Linked DNA regions of Oryzias latipes. The protein of the gene in region 1 interacts with the protein of each later gene in a pairwise test. Links are inferred from orthologs where the notes say so. Each region holds a gene or a part of one and is shown in the gene's direction. Other genes may lie near its edges.

The links.
Region 2: the proteins of rcc1l (region 1) and nme6 interact in binary tests that used the Homo sapiens proteins (3 or more experiments, as listed by UniProt). The link is inferred for Oryzias latipes from reciprocal best matches to the Homo sapiens genes RCC1L and NME6.

The regions. Positions count from the first base shown.
Region 1 is NC_019872.2:27,470,954-27,478,272, forward strand, and holds the start of rcc1l (RCC1-like G exchanging factor-like protein), read left to right. Parts: upstream 1-2,882; 5' UTR 2,883-3,055; intron 3,056-3,583; 5' UTR 3,584-3,584; coding exon 3,585-3,869; intron 3,870-4,743; coding exon 4,744-4,873; intron 4,874-5,596; coding exon 5,597-5,725; intron 5,726-6,612; coding exon 6,613-6,679; intron 6,680-7,319. Other genes in the region: stress response protein NST1-like, read right to left, coding at 1-930. UniProt on the Homo sapiens protein: Guanine nucleotide exchange factor (GEF) for mitochondrial dynamin-related GTPase OPA1. Activates OPA1, by exchanging bound GDP for free GTP, and drives OPA1 and MFN1-dependent mitochondrial fusion. Plays an essential role in mitochondrial ribosome biogenesis.
Region 2 is NC_019882.2:13,733,535-13,740,698, reverse strand, and holds nme6 (nucleoside diphosphate kinase 6), read left to right. Parts: upstream 1-2,950; 5' UTR 2,951-3,195; exon of another isoform or gene 3,196-3,206; intron 3,207-3,486; 5' UTR 3,487-3,489; coding exon 3,490-3,582; intron 3,583-5,147; coding exon 5,148-5,250; intron 5,251-5,487; coding exon 5,488-5,527; intron 5,528-5,625; coding exon 5,626-5,786; intron 5,787-6,095; coding exon 6,096-6,253; 3' UTR 6,254-6,312; downstream 6,313-7,164. Other genes in the region: brain and acute leukemia cytoplasmic protein-like, read right to left, coding at 6,767-6,931, 7,050-7,164. UniProt on the Homo sapiens protein: Major role in the synthesis of nucleoside triphosphates other than ATP. The ATP gamma phosphate is transferred to the NDP beta phosphate via a ping-pong mechanism, using a phosphorylated active-site intermediate. Inhibitor of p53-induced apoptosis.

The DNA.
Region 1 (7,319 bases):
ATCAAGTGTTTGAACAGGGGCTGGAAAAGTCGTAGGAATCACAGGAGGTCTTGGTATTTGAAGCATAGATGATGACTTTGTCAAAGGAAAATTTTGAGAAGTTCTTACTCTTTTGGTGTTACCTTGTATGAAGGAAACTTCTGCTTGGTCGTAGACTTCTACTCTAGCTTTAGCAGCATTTAGCTTTTTGACTTCTTCGAGTCGTTCAAGTTTTCTACGTTTGTCTTGTATAGCCTGAAGTCTAGCTTGTTTCTCTGACTCAAACTGAACAAGACGCTCTTTATCTTCAGCCTTTGAAGTTTCAACTGCTTCCTTTTCTTGTTCCTCCAACACTGCCAAAACCTCTTGACATGCAGCAGCGTCTCTTCTTTTAGCTGATTGGACACTTGAGTGGAAAGAATCACACTTTGACCGATCAGACATTGACTGAGATGATGAAACTGTTGAATTTAAGATTGATCCAACATCTGGCCAAGGTTCCTCCTCTTCATCTGCCGGTGACCCTTGAAGCTGTCTTTTAGTCTTTTGGATAATAAATCTTGACAGTGACATACAGGTATCAACCTTGCGCCGCAGGTCTGACTCGGGCGTACATACTTGGCGGAGCTCATCGTACATCCCCTGTACAGCAGAAGAGGTAGCTTGAAGGTCCTCAATTATTTCCTTTAGCTCCTCCTTGGAAACTTTATCTGATAACATTTCTTTACTAATTCTCGCATGATATCTCCACTTTTCATATGTCATTCTGTACTTGCGTTCCATTGCTTTCAGTTTTTCCTTTTGGAGTTCTTTTCCTTTTTCAGTCAAGCTTCGAATTCTTTCACTTCTTCGTGGTGTTTTTGCTTCTTCTTCGGGAGTAAGGTGAGCATTTTCAACTTGGGCAGATTCCTCAGCTTGCTCCTCTTGATTGTGTGTTTGTGCATGTGACATCTTATCAAGTGCTTTAGGGTGCAAATGTTTAGGAATATATGTTTTAGACAATATGTCTTAACTTGTTTAAATTTTCAAATGTAGTAAGTTTATCTAAACATGAAAGGCATATTATCTGTTACTAAATTAAATAAATGAAATTTACAAACACTTCAAGCCTAAATTGTAATGGAAAAACACTTAAAGTAACAATAATAATACTGATGAACTGTAGTCTTAACTTTGCTTTCAAATATTTTAAATGAACTTTTTTTTTCTAAATAAGTCACAAAAACATTTTCTTGATATGTAACAATATAGTAGAAACGCTTTAACAGATGACAAATAACTTATTTCCTTAGCTGCAACCTTTAAATCCCCTTTTAACACTATTTCTTTACTTTTTGTAAAAAAAAAAAAACTTTCTGGCTTCATTGGACACCAGTCCTTTCATATGCTTGCCTGCACGCGGTAAGGAAATGGGCGTCGGCTTCCTCGTGGCTCTCGGCTCTGCTTAGCGGGCACTTCTGCAGGTCATCACACACTTCTTGTGGGACATTGCGTGCCTTCGCTTTCATGTGAAAACTATAACAAAACATTATACACGTTTGAGGAGAAATAAACAATACAAAATAACACAAAAAACAAGCATAACAAATACCTCGTTTCCGCTTGTCAAGAAAAAAGAGTCTCTTTTAGTCCAAGGTATTCTTTTTTGCAGCTCTTTCTCCCAGCTTGAACTCCTAATTGCCGCAACCTCGTGAGCAAAAGACGTGCTCACCTGCAGTGTTGCCAGATCTGAGTGACAGTTTCCAGCCCAAACTCATCGTAAAACCCGCCCACGTCAATAAAAACCAGCCCAAATCTCAACCTAGCAAAAACCTAATGTTGAACGTAAAAGTATAGCCGTAGCCTAATAAAAAATGACGCAATAATAATAAATTATTATATAATAAGTCTGTTATAATAATTTTTTTTATAAAATAAGTACAGAAAATCCAGTTATAGGTTTCTCGTATCGTGTACTCTAGATGGCTTTTGATGGCGCCCCCCTCTTTCTGCCACTGCCAGGTGCTGGACCACAGCGTATGTCAATCAGCGGTGGGCTGGTGACTGGTGGATTAGAGGGGGCGGGGCCTACCTGGGTGCGCGTTGGCTGAACGTTCTCCTCCGGCTGAGTGTATAAGCAGGCTGCGCTATTTTTGTTCGAGCTGTAACCATTCTGACAAGGTTAATAAAAGCCAATAAAAGCCCTGCAGCATCTCCATCTTTTGGAAATGAACCCAAACGGCAGAATAGGGTTCTGACTCTGCAGAGGCTCTGGGAGTTTTAAAACAGCGTCAATTATTCGCTGATTTTTGTTATTCACGGGGGGGGGGGGGTGGGGGGGGGGGGGGGGGGGGACTAAACAGGGGGATTACTGTAATGTTTCATATATTCACAATGCTTTTTTTAGGCTATATATTAATTAGTATACTTTTACTTAATATTTTAAATAATAAGAAAAATAATAATAATGACAATAAAACCGCTAAATATTTTGAAAAGCAGCCCAAATTTTATAGACCCGCCCAATGCCAATTTTACCCGCCCAACATAACCAAAAGAAGCCCAATTGGGCGGAAACCCGCCCAATCTGGCAACACTGCTCACCTGTGGCCAACATAAAAGGCTCAAATTCTCGCGAGAATAGCCCTATTCTTCTGAACATAATTCAAACAAAATTCACTGTCCAAAGAAATAAAAATTAAATCACCACTCATTAAACATTTCACAACCCACGGACTTCAATAAATATATATAAATATATAAATTTAAGCTGCATTTACAATTTTTCTTTGTTGCAAAACTGACACCATACAAAAACTAAAGTTATTTCCCTGACATTTACCCATAGCTGTGATGTTATATTCCTCCAGAGCAGCAGGGGGCGGTGTTGCTTAACCGGAAGAGTATTCCACCGCGAGACCATTTTACCCGGAAGTTCATCTCTTCTACCTCTCGTGTTCTTGGATAGAAATAGGCGTCTAACAAGTGAGATTTGAACTGAAAAGATTTAAGTTAAATCTGAATTTAAACAGCCGATGGGGAGATTTGCTTCCTTTCGGCAGACCGGGACAGACGCTAGGTTCAATGAAAAGTAAAGGTACGAAGGAAACATGGTTGAACTCATTTTTTCTGCCATTTCTATAAAATATTTGAATATTTTAATGAAGATTGTAAATGATACATTGAAAAGCTTAATTTAAATGAATACAAATGTTCTTTACAGTTCGGCATCAGTGAAATAACAAAATTGTTGCATTAAAAACATGGAAAATCAAGGTTATTGTTTAATATGTTTTAATTTGGCTTAAAAAATATCCCAGTATGAACTGTCGCAGTACCTTTTAAAATAACTATGTAAAATGAGCTGTTTGAGTTCATTGAATGAGATTTATTTATCCATAACTCCTTTTAGCTTAAAATTAGTGCATGTCATCAACTTAAATGCTTATTTTTAATAGATCTGTAAGTTTTCATGTTTTTAGAAAACTCAACATTGGATATTTTCCAAGAGGTCATTGAAGGAAACAGGAAATGTTAAAGAATCAGTTGATAAAACATTTTTCTTAGTGTCTTTGTGCCATAAAAGGAGACTTTATTTCAAAATAAAATGCTTGTATCTGTGCAGGATGGCTCTTTCCACGGTGCGCTTGTGCTCCCGGCACAGGAGCTCCGGCCTCCAGGCGTTTGGCTACGCAACGCAGCACAGCTCCTCAGGAGCCCAGGAGAGCAGCAGCAGCGGCCCCGTGTTTCAGTACGTCGGCCAGCACAAGCGGCCGACCCACAGAGTGTTTGTCTGGGGCTTCAGCTTCACTGGGGCTCTGGGGATCCCCAGCTTTGTGGTGCCAGACAGCGGCAGGAAGAAACCCCGCAAGTGTCAGCTGACGCCGTACCGTCTGGAGACGGCAGAAACGGTAGAGCATCTTTAAAGGTTTTGCAAGAAGTCACTTCAATTGAGTTGATTTAGAAATATCATCACTATCATCACAAAAAGAATATAAAATCAATAGAGAATGGAATGAAACGCTTTCAACATTTCTTATTCGGTAAAATAGAATAAATCACAATGCAGTAAAATAAAAGAGAGAGCATTTATTTTACTGTGTGTAAAATCCAAGTTAAAAAAGTTGTTTTTTCTTCTTTTTTTGAAAAGACTTACAAAGGCTGTCAGACATGAAGTGGAAGCTCTTTCCAAAGTTATGGAGCTGCTGCGGCGGCGGCGAACGCATGCTCCTTTGTTTTTGCTGAGCAGCTGACCGAAGAGGGAGCATCAAACTTCAGCAGCTCATAGAAAAAGCTGCCAAGCCGTGCACAGATTTATAAACGAATGAGAGAATTTTAACCCTGCTTATACCTGGTCTGGGTAAATACTTGACTCTGATTGGCTGCGAGGTGTCTATCACAGACCAGATCAAAATAGTGTTTTTGGCTTTTTACTCATGTATATGAGCATAATGAAGTTAAAATAGGTAAAATCTGATCATATTTCTCTGTTGTAGTGTACATTTTGAGATTGTTTCTGATCTTGTGCATCTAAATGTGGAGAATTAACCTCAAGTTACTAGATGGATTAAATAAAAATCACTGTATGTATTATTTTAAGTCTGTGGTTTAGCAGTTTTCTGGCGTAGACGGAGAAGTCTTTTATTGTCCGTCCTTCACTTTGGCGGTTCCAGCGTCTGAGTGGGCTCCTGTCATCAGTCACAGCTGACTGAGTCTAATGCTCTGCATCTAATTGTTGAGGAAAGTGGCTGAAGGTGGAGTTCAAGGTCACCGTCTCTGTTGCAGATCTCGTCTGCTGCTTGTGGTTACGGATTCACTCTCCTGGCGTCCTCCACCAAAGACGTGTCCAAAGTGTGGGGCATGGGCCTGAACAAGGACTCTCAGCTGGGCTTCCAGCGAACCCAACGCAGCCGTCGTAAGCAAAAAAAAACCTCCTCTGATGCTGCACACCAGCTCTCCTTAATCACTGCGAGTCTGTCGGAACAAAGAGGCGCCATCAGAGGCGGCGGCGGTGTGTCCACGCTGAAATGAAAACCGGCGCGTTCGCTTTTCAACCCTTTAAATCTTTTCCAGTTTTCTCTCACAGAGCTAAAAATCACTTATTTATTAGAATGCTGTTGGTTTATTTTTAATTCATAAGGACGGTACGTTTACAGTTTTGCAGGTTTCTCTTTTCCAAGTGGGAAAATAAAATGTGAATATGCATTTTAGGGACTCTTGGAAAACATTTTTACTGTCAGTTTATGTGACTTAATGTTTGGTATAAACAGTTTTAATTGCCAGTCTGGTGAGCTTTAGTGCACACTGGTTCTTTTGCAGGGACTTCTGGGAAATTACTAAAAAGGCATGATGTGGTGTACGAAGTGGCCGCTTGAACGCGCGTTGTTGAGGGCGCAGCTTCATTTCTCAAAGGTTCCAGAACGAATTCAACATTTTTAAACACACAAAATCTCATTTTTGACATCTACAGCCTCATTATTTCAAAGATGATGTTTCTGAAGACGTTTTTCCTGTCAAGGGTTCCATTGGAAAGCTGTAATTGTCACGCCGCGTTTTCAGAGGAACCTCTGCAGACTCGCCAAAAGCACAAAGACTTCTCGTCTCTTTGAAATCTTGCGTGGCTGCTGTCCCCCCGCAGATCACAGCTACCATTACGTTCTGGAACCGTCTCCGGTGGCGCTGCCCCTCAAAGAGCCTCTGCAGACCAGGGTGGTCCAGGTGGCATGCGGCCGCGCCCACTCCCTGATCCTCACCGACAGAGAAGGAGGTGAGACGAGATGTTTGTGCTTTTCTAGAACAGGGCGGGGCCAACAGCCCGCTGAACCAGATCAGGGATGCTGTCTTCTTTCACACAGTCTGTCAAACAGAACAGAACAGTGTTCCCTTTCCACGTTGCAGTTCATCTTTTGCGGTTTCGCTCATTCTTTTAGTGCGATGATGCTTTTTTTTTCTGCAGAAAGTGTGCAGAAAATTCTTCTGCTGCTGGATTGTGGTGTAAGATTTGTTGGTCGCCGCACAAACGCAGCATTTCTTTGAGTTTGCGTTTTACACGACGTGCATCAAATGATGCAAATGCCTCTAAAATGAGAAGAAAAGACACAGTTTTGAAACAAAATGTTCCGTTTTAAAATATATCTTTATTTTCAATCAAAATAATTTTGTCCAGATTCCATTTTATGTATTTATTTATTTTTAAGGTGGATTACCAAAACACACATTTGCTCCTGGTTAGAACCTTTCGTGGACTACGAGTTGAAACGTTGGCGCTAGAAGGAGCTTTGGCGTCTTTTCTTCTGGTGCTTTGGTGGAGCGGAAACCTCCTTCATGTGTGCTTCTGAACGCCACTCCACTGCAGCAGATGTTCACTGTGACGAGTGAAACCAATAAAAATGGACTTTTATGATTTGAAACGAGCTTTGTGGCTTCATGTCTGGCACTCAGGGGAGAGACGTGTCACAAAGATGTTTGTTTCTTTTTGCTCCGTTGCCTTAAATGTTATGTTTTAGTTCATTCAGACGTTCATCACTTATCTGAGAAAAGTCCAATTTCATTTGAGTTTATTTGTATGGAAAGACGCCTCCAAATGAAAGTGTTTTTCTTTTTCTCTCCTGTTTTATATCTGAAAACTTCACTTTTGTGTTTGTCATTTGTTAGTTTTCAGTTTGGGCAACAACGCGTTCGGCCAGTGTGGGAGGCGGATAGTCCGAGATGAAGTCTACAGGTGCGTCGCTTTAACTTATTGCATCATTTTTCTGCTGAAATACAAGATATTTCTCTGATTTAAATCCAGTCTTTTCTTCTATCAGCTCAGTTTTTAAGACAGATAAAGGAAGAACAGATTAATTTAAGAACTTTTTTAAAAATAGGATAAAGCAGAAAAAATCAATCTGCTTTGTGGTTTTCTTGTGATAAAATACTTTAATCTTTCCTGTTTCTTTATGATTCAACATTAAGACATTATTAGAGATAATTTATTTATGTTTAGGAATAATCACCTGATAAAAGTTATATTATATTTTATGATGATGAATCATTAAAACAAAAAAATCTATTTCACTTTTATTGTTTATTTTACTCAGTAAAAACAATTATAAGATAATAATAATGATAAAAATAATTTGATTTAAATAGACTGATCCAATTATAAAAGCTGTAACAGACATTAATGTTTATTACACCAAGGTGATCATTTAAAATGGCAACAATGTTTAGATTTTTCAGCAAAATTCACAAGAAAACTAGACTTTTGCAGAAGTGGATGTTTAAGTTCTGTTCTTTAACCCTTGTGCTATCCTATGGGGTCCATATGACCCCCCCCTTACATTGACGTGTTCTCCCTACCATGACAAAGGTGGATAAAG
Region 2 (7,164 bases), on another chromosome or scaffold:
CTCACCGGGGGCTGTGTCGTTCTGAATGACCCTGTTCGGGGGGTCCTGGGGTGACAGGTGAGATCTTTGCACACTGGCTTCTGCTTCCGCATTACAGCAAAATTATGATTGACTCAAAAGAAAAGCCTCCTCCTAGAACACAACAACATCACAAGTAAATTCACAAAATAACAATTTCAGATTTTTAACAAAATTAATATTCATTGTCAAAACTGCACATTGAGATTAGCTAATAAATTTAATGGTGTGAATGAAAGTACAAACTAAAAATATGGAACATTTTAGTTTGTTTATAAGTGCTCCAGTATGTTACAATTTGGATACAACAGAGTAGAAGACCCAGACCATGACATTACCACCGCCATGTTTGAAAGCTCTTCTTCCTTTTGGGTTGTGATGGGCACCTAAAACAAATTAAAATATTGTGTCTATGTTTCTTGAATTTCTCTGAAATTCTGATGTTTTCTTTTAACATAACCTCTATAGTCAGTTGAAAACTGGGCATCTGGTCTAGAACTAGGATGTTTTTCTTTGCTCACTTTTATGATTTTCTCTACTGACACATACTGTGCCACAAATTTATTCCATGTAAAAATATCAAATTTGTCTTATGTAAGGATTTTATCGTCTTTAGTCACAAATAACTATATTTTGTCAGAGGCATACTTTTAAAATGGATGTAAATCCTTCAATGGGGACTCAATATTTAAGAGTATTTTTTATTTTGAAAATATACCTAGTATTCCAACAAGAGCAGTTTTTCTCTGATGCACCTCATAATGATTCCACAAAGAAATGTATTTGTCTTTAAAGAATGACCTGACTAAGATGATTCAAGTCCTGTTATACTGGGGGGGAACTACTCATTCCAAAAACCAAAGAGTGACAACTGCAGTGCAGCAGTACCACAGAGGAAAAAAGATAAAAGGGGTTTGAGGCCCTTGAGAAAGGGGGTGAATCAGCAGAGGATGATTGCAGCACGAGTCAGCAGTGATCATCAATGGTATCAGTTCTGTTGGATGGGGTCCTCAAGGAAACCTCCACCCATCATGTTAACACAAATGGGTTATTTAGTTTCAGATTTAACAATGTTGTGTTCAGAACATTTGTCTTATCCATTCACAACCACCAACAATCTTTTGTGACTCATAAACCTTGTGGGCAACTAAATAAACTCTAATAAAAAAATGTAAACAGCTAGAACAGAATATAAAGACCCAGAAAAAATGTGACCAGATTTTACTGATGGCGAGCTACTTTTCTGGCCTCAACAAAGATGTCAAGAAAAAAAAACGGTCATGTGAAAAGTTGGTTTTAAACAAAATAAATTATTTTCCTGATTCTTCTGAACTTGACATTCAACAGTAGTTGTCAGCCCTGATCCACACATAATACTTAGTGTCCACTAGAATCCAGGCTGACGTGACTGATCTTTGTGGAAAACGCGATTAGGCCATGTGTCATCACATCACATTGAGCTCCTCTGTTGCCTCTGCCCCTCTGCCTGACGTCCTATAACTTAAACTTTATAGAGTTCAAAGAAACAAGGGTCTTTTGTCTGAGTCACTCAGTAAGAAACTGCAGTCACCATCATTACTGCTGCCATGTGTTCATCTCCATCATTCGTGTGCAGCTCACCATAGATCCGCAGATCACAAAGTTAAAGCAGAGACACAAACTTTGCTCTTTCTAAATCAGACCCATTTATTACATTTAAAAGGATTTCTATGACATTTTTGAAATGTAGATTTAAAAAGTAACCATTTTAAGCATCATTTCTTTCACACAGAAATGTGTCCCCTCCAACCCCACAAACATCACTTGCCCTCTCCAACCCCCTCATGGGACACAACAGCTGTGGTTTCACCCCCACCCAGAGTCATATGACATGGGCAGGTGGGATAAAAACCTATATGGACATACCCCTACTGCCCCTCTTCCATCTCCCTGAATGTCAGCCACACACTTGTGTTCAGTCTCTACTGTTCAAGGGTGTGACCATGTTGCTCTGCTGGAATGCGCTCCCCGTTTGTAGATCACACTGTATGTCTGATCTCTTAGACAGCAATAAGATTCCACAGACACAATCCCCCTGCTGCTCCAGCTTCTGCTTGTAGCTGCTGTTTATTTCTAAGAGAAGGCCAAAAGATGCACATTATGATTAAAGTGACTTTATTTTCCCCCTTTCCTCTAAGAATTTAACCTTTTTACAATGTGCACATTTGTAGTTGTGTGTCCTAAACCAATGGTTCTAAAATACAGAACATTTACACATGGGGATACCACTATACACACAAACGCATATAAAACATATAGTAATATGTAAAAATAAAAAATAAAAGTACATGAACAGCAGCTATCTAAATATTTATAGAGAAATCCAGTTAAAAACAACATGTGGTACAGCCAGAGACATGTTTTAAAATTTGTTTCAGATGGCAAAACTCATTTTAAAATGTATATTATTCCTTTAATATTACAATTTTCATTTAATTGAAAATTTGCATTGTCGTTTTTGTGCTACTAAAGCTTTTGAGTACTTCTGCAAGGTTCTAAAATATTGCTTTTATGTCTACATAAATGTAAACAAAGCAATCTGGTGCTAGTTTGGGGAAACTTGGCAAGAAAAGCCATTAACAGGGATACATTGCCTATTATAGGCAACAACAAAAAAAGAAATGATAAATTATTTAAGTAGTTTAACCAAGAAAGGGAAACTTATACTCTGATTGTTTGCAAGGTCCCTTGGTAAATTTTTGGGAGCATGTTTATAACTTTAAAAATAAATCTTTTAAAAATCGTTAACTTTCTGAAGTTTTATTGCTGTACAAAGCGAGAAATTAAAAAGAAAAACGTAATCAATTGTTTAAATGTGATTCTGATACATTTACTTGAGGTTTGTTTCTACTCCTTTCACAGAAGGAACTTTTTTTAAGCTTTAGTTTCGGGGGATTGTTTTTACGGACGGACATGTTGTAATGAGGAGGTTTAATCATAGCTAAAACTATGATTTTATGATACTTTAACGTTTAAAATAAAAAAGTGGTATTGTGAAAATAAGTATCTATTATGTAGGGTATTGAACGTTTGAAATCAGATCGAATAGCGGGTGTATAGCCTGCGTTCTGCGGCTGCGTTAACCGTTATTGCTCACGCGCCTCCTCCGCTTGTTATTTTGGACACAAGCCTCGCAGAGTGAGTCAGAGGTCGGTAAAATGAGCAAGTTGCTGGGTTGTTGAAGACAGCGAAAGATTCTTTATTATTATTATTATTATTATTATTATTATTATTATTATTATTATTATAATGTATTCATTATGATTATTATCTGTAGTAAAAAATAACTCACAATATCGCCTCAAGAACCACATTTGTGTTTGTTTTTCGTGTGTTTCTCACTGAGCATCGTCGTGTAAACGGGAGTCCACTTGTGTTTTGTGTCGCACGTGTTCTGGTTAACAGCTGCTTGTGTGTCTTGTTCACCAGAAAATGTTCCCGACGACTCGCCACCTGTCCAGAGTGCTGCAGCTCACTCTGGCGGTCATTAAGCCTGATGCTGTTGCTCATCCGTTGATGATGGAGGTCAGCCTTCAATGTAAATCCAAACATACACACTAAAGGTTGACGCCATATAAAAAAACACAATGTTAAAATAAAGTTTAAAAGGAACACACAGTTTTGAATCTGACATATATTTTGGGTGTGATGTTTATTTTAATTAACAGCCTAATCTTGTGAAAAACTGCATAAAAGAGCAGGAAGTAAATCTTTATTGACCATATATATTCAGGAAATTCAGAGAGAAGTTTCAGCTGATTGCAAAGAAAAGGAAAACGTAGATTTTAAATTGCAACGACATATTTTATTGTAATGTAAATTTCTGTATAAATAAGACAGAATATAAAAAAAATCTAGGAAATCATATTGTATGACTTTTTAAAGAATGTGTCAATTGGTGCAGAAGAAAATAAGTATTTGCCCCTATAAACAAGTAAGAATGCTGCCTCTCATAAACCTCTTACTTCTTCTTTATGTAGCGTTTCTATTTTTCATTCATGTCACCTTTTTAAACTAGTTATCTGTATAAAAGACACCTGTCCACACTCTTTAACAGTGAGAATGCAACCTTTCCATGATGAACAAAGAGCTGTCAAAGGACACCAGGACACGATTATTCACCTGAACAAGACTGGGATGAACCAATATACAAAAAGGAAGCAGCCTGATGAGACAAAATCAACTATTGGAGCAAATATTAGTAGATAGGAGAAACACAGGATCACTGGCGATCTCCCTCCACCTGGAGCTTTGTGCAAGAAGATCTCACCTTTTTATGTACAAATGATCTTGGTAATGATGAAGAAACATCCCAGAAGTATACCAGATCTGGAAGAACACATCATGCTCTGGGTCTGTTCTTTTGCAAAGAGGGTGGATAAACTGATCTGTCTTCAGGAAAAGTTGAATGGGAACATGTATAGTGAGATTTTGGGCAGAAACTATAAGTAAGAGCATTGGGGATGATATGTGGCTGGATCTTTCAGCATAACAAAAATCCCAAACTCATCACCAGGGCAACAAGGGGGTAGCTACGTGACAAGCATTTCAAGGTTCTGGAGTGGTCTAGCCAGTCTGGACCTCAATCCAGTAGAGATTCTGTGGAGGGAGTTGAAAGTCTGTGTTGCCCAGTAACAGCCCAAAAACATCACAGGTCTGAGAAGGTCTGCATAGAGGAATGGACTAAAATAGCAGCTAAAGTGTCTGTAAACCTGTGAAGACCTACAGGAAACCTTTGACCTCTGTCCTTGACAACCAGGATTACATTAGATTGTTGAGGTGAACTTTAATTATTGACCATTTTTGGCTCCATTATACAAATAAATTCTTTAAAAAGTCTTATGCGATTTTTTTTTCTTTTCTTTTTGTCTATTGTGTCTTTCACAGTTAATGTGTACCTCTTTCCTTTTTAAAGGGACCAACTTACAGAACCTGTGTGTCCCAAATACATTTTTGCTTCACTGTAGCTCTTACTGATTGACTCCTATAGATTGTTTGTATCTCAATGAATTCTGTTTGAATGGTTCGAAACCTTTTTTGTTTTTGTTTAAATATCACTAACAAATTGATGTATCTGATTTATCTTTCAGGCTCTTCACCAGAAAATTCTAGATAACGATTTTAAAATTGTCAGATGCAAGGATCTGGTGTGGGAACGGCAGGACTCGGAGAAGTTTTACGCCGAGCATTCAGGTGTGCGCACAGCGTGTGCTTGTGCAGATTTTCTGAAATGAACAAAGGCAGGCTGTTCTTCATCCATGTGACTGAAATTGAGTCAGGAGGCAGAATTGGCCGACACGTCACACCATTTGCACGGCAAAAACAAGTGAATCACCCTACTTTGCTGCTAAGAAGCCAACTTTAAAGGCTGCCGTGCAAAGAGAATGAAAAAACAGAGCATGGATGACCCTGTTTTGCCTTTATTTTCAGGCCGATTCTTCTATCAAAGACTTGTTGAATTTATGTCGAGGTGAGCCTCCATGTCTTTAAAAAAAAAAATGACTGATAGTAATCCTGTGTGCTGCCCCCCTACAAATGTTGAAACCATCAATGTAAAATTCTTCGCAGTGGTCCGATGAGAGCGTATGTTTTAGCCAGAGAAGATGCAATCCGTCACTGGAGGGGACTGATGGGACCGACCAAAGTGTTCAGAGCCAGATACACCGACCCGAATTCTATCAGGGCCCAGTTTGGGCTCACAGATACAAGAAACACAACTCATGGCTCAGGTTAGAGATGTTTAAAGACCAACTTTAATCATTTATTACAATTACCAGAACAAGATGAGAGTGGGACTTTAATGCTTTTACCATCATGAACATAATCCAGTTCTTTCAGGTTATTTTACGCTGTACGTTGGTAATTTATACCGAAATTACCAACATAAGTGGGGTATATATATATATATATTTTAAAGTTTAAAACAAATAAACTTCCAGCCTTTCTTTGCTTTTTGCAAAGTTTTTAATTTACAGAACTTTAACTGCTGTTCTTCAGTTTGACACCTTCAAATATGATTTTTTTTTCCCCTCCATCAGATTCTCCAGAGTCGGCTCAAAGAGAGATAAGCTTCTTCTTCCCAGATTTCCACACGGCAGACTGGATGGAGAAAGAAGAGCCGCTGTTCAGATCAGGAAAGATGACCTATGACCATCAGAACCAGGTCCATGTTTTATCAGCAGCAACACAACCTTAAGATGACTCAGTTTATATGAAGTCATGTTGGACCTTAAAGCTTTATTGGATGAAAAAAAACCACATACACAGATGACAAAATGTAAACTCATTTGTGCAAAACAAGATACAGTAAGCCTGATCAGTCATCGGCACAGACGGTAAAACCGTAACAACATGCTGTGCTTCTTTTCCAAAACAAATATTTACACTTAAAATAAAAAACACAATGATAGCATTACACACCATTTATCAAAAGCAGCAAGAAGTGTTTTTATTCACCCTGTATTTCACAAAATACTATTATTGGCACAAATGAATTATTAGAGATGTTTTTTTTCTGACCAAATGACAGTTTCACTTTTTTGTTCTCATTTATGTCAAAACATACAATAACACACGTCATGATGTGCATTGGCACATGATTCATATTCATGTATGAAATTACCGTCCATGAGACCATAAGGATTTCTGTACAAAAACACATTCATGTCACTGATTTCACAGTTGTGTTGAACCTGGCTCCGTCCTGCCTTCATGTGTTTTGAGTGGCCGCCTGTTTTAGAGTCTCCACAGGTTTCATGATCTCATAGGTTGTGAGAGACTTCTTCACTTTTCCATTTTTATCTACCTGGTGGATGCTCTGCGTCACGGTAATGGTCACCTGTTTAGTCGACATCCGATTATCCTGCCATTTTGTCTGTAAATGGTAAAAAACAAACACAGAGACAATAAAGAAGTTATTTAATATAGTTTGAAGCTTTTATTTTTGAAAGGTTTAACCATTGATTGGTATGCAATGGGTGTGAGAGGCTTACAATCTCCTCTGTGTGGAGAACACTTCTGCGCTGCACTGTGGTTCCTGATGGAGGTGAAGCGGCCTCCGGCTTCGGAGAGGCCAGGATGGATGACGGGCTGCTGGGCGTCACGTTG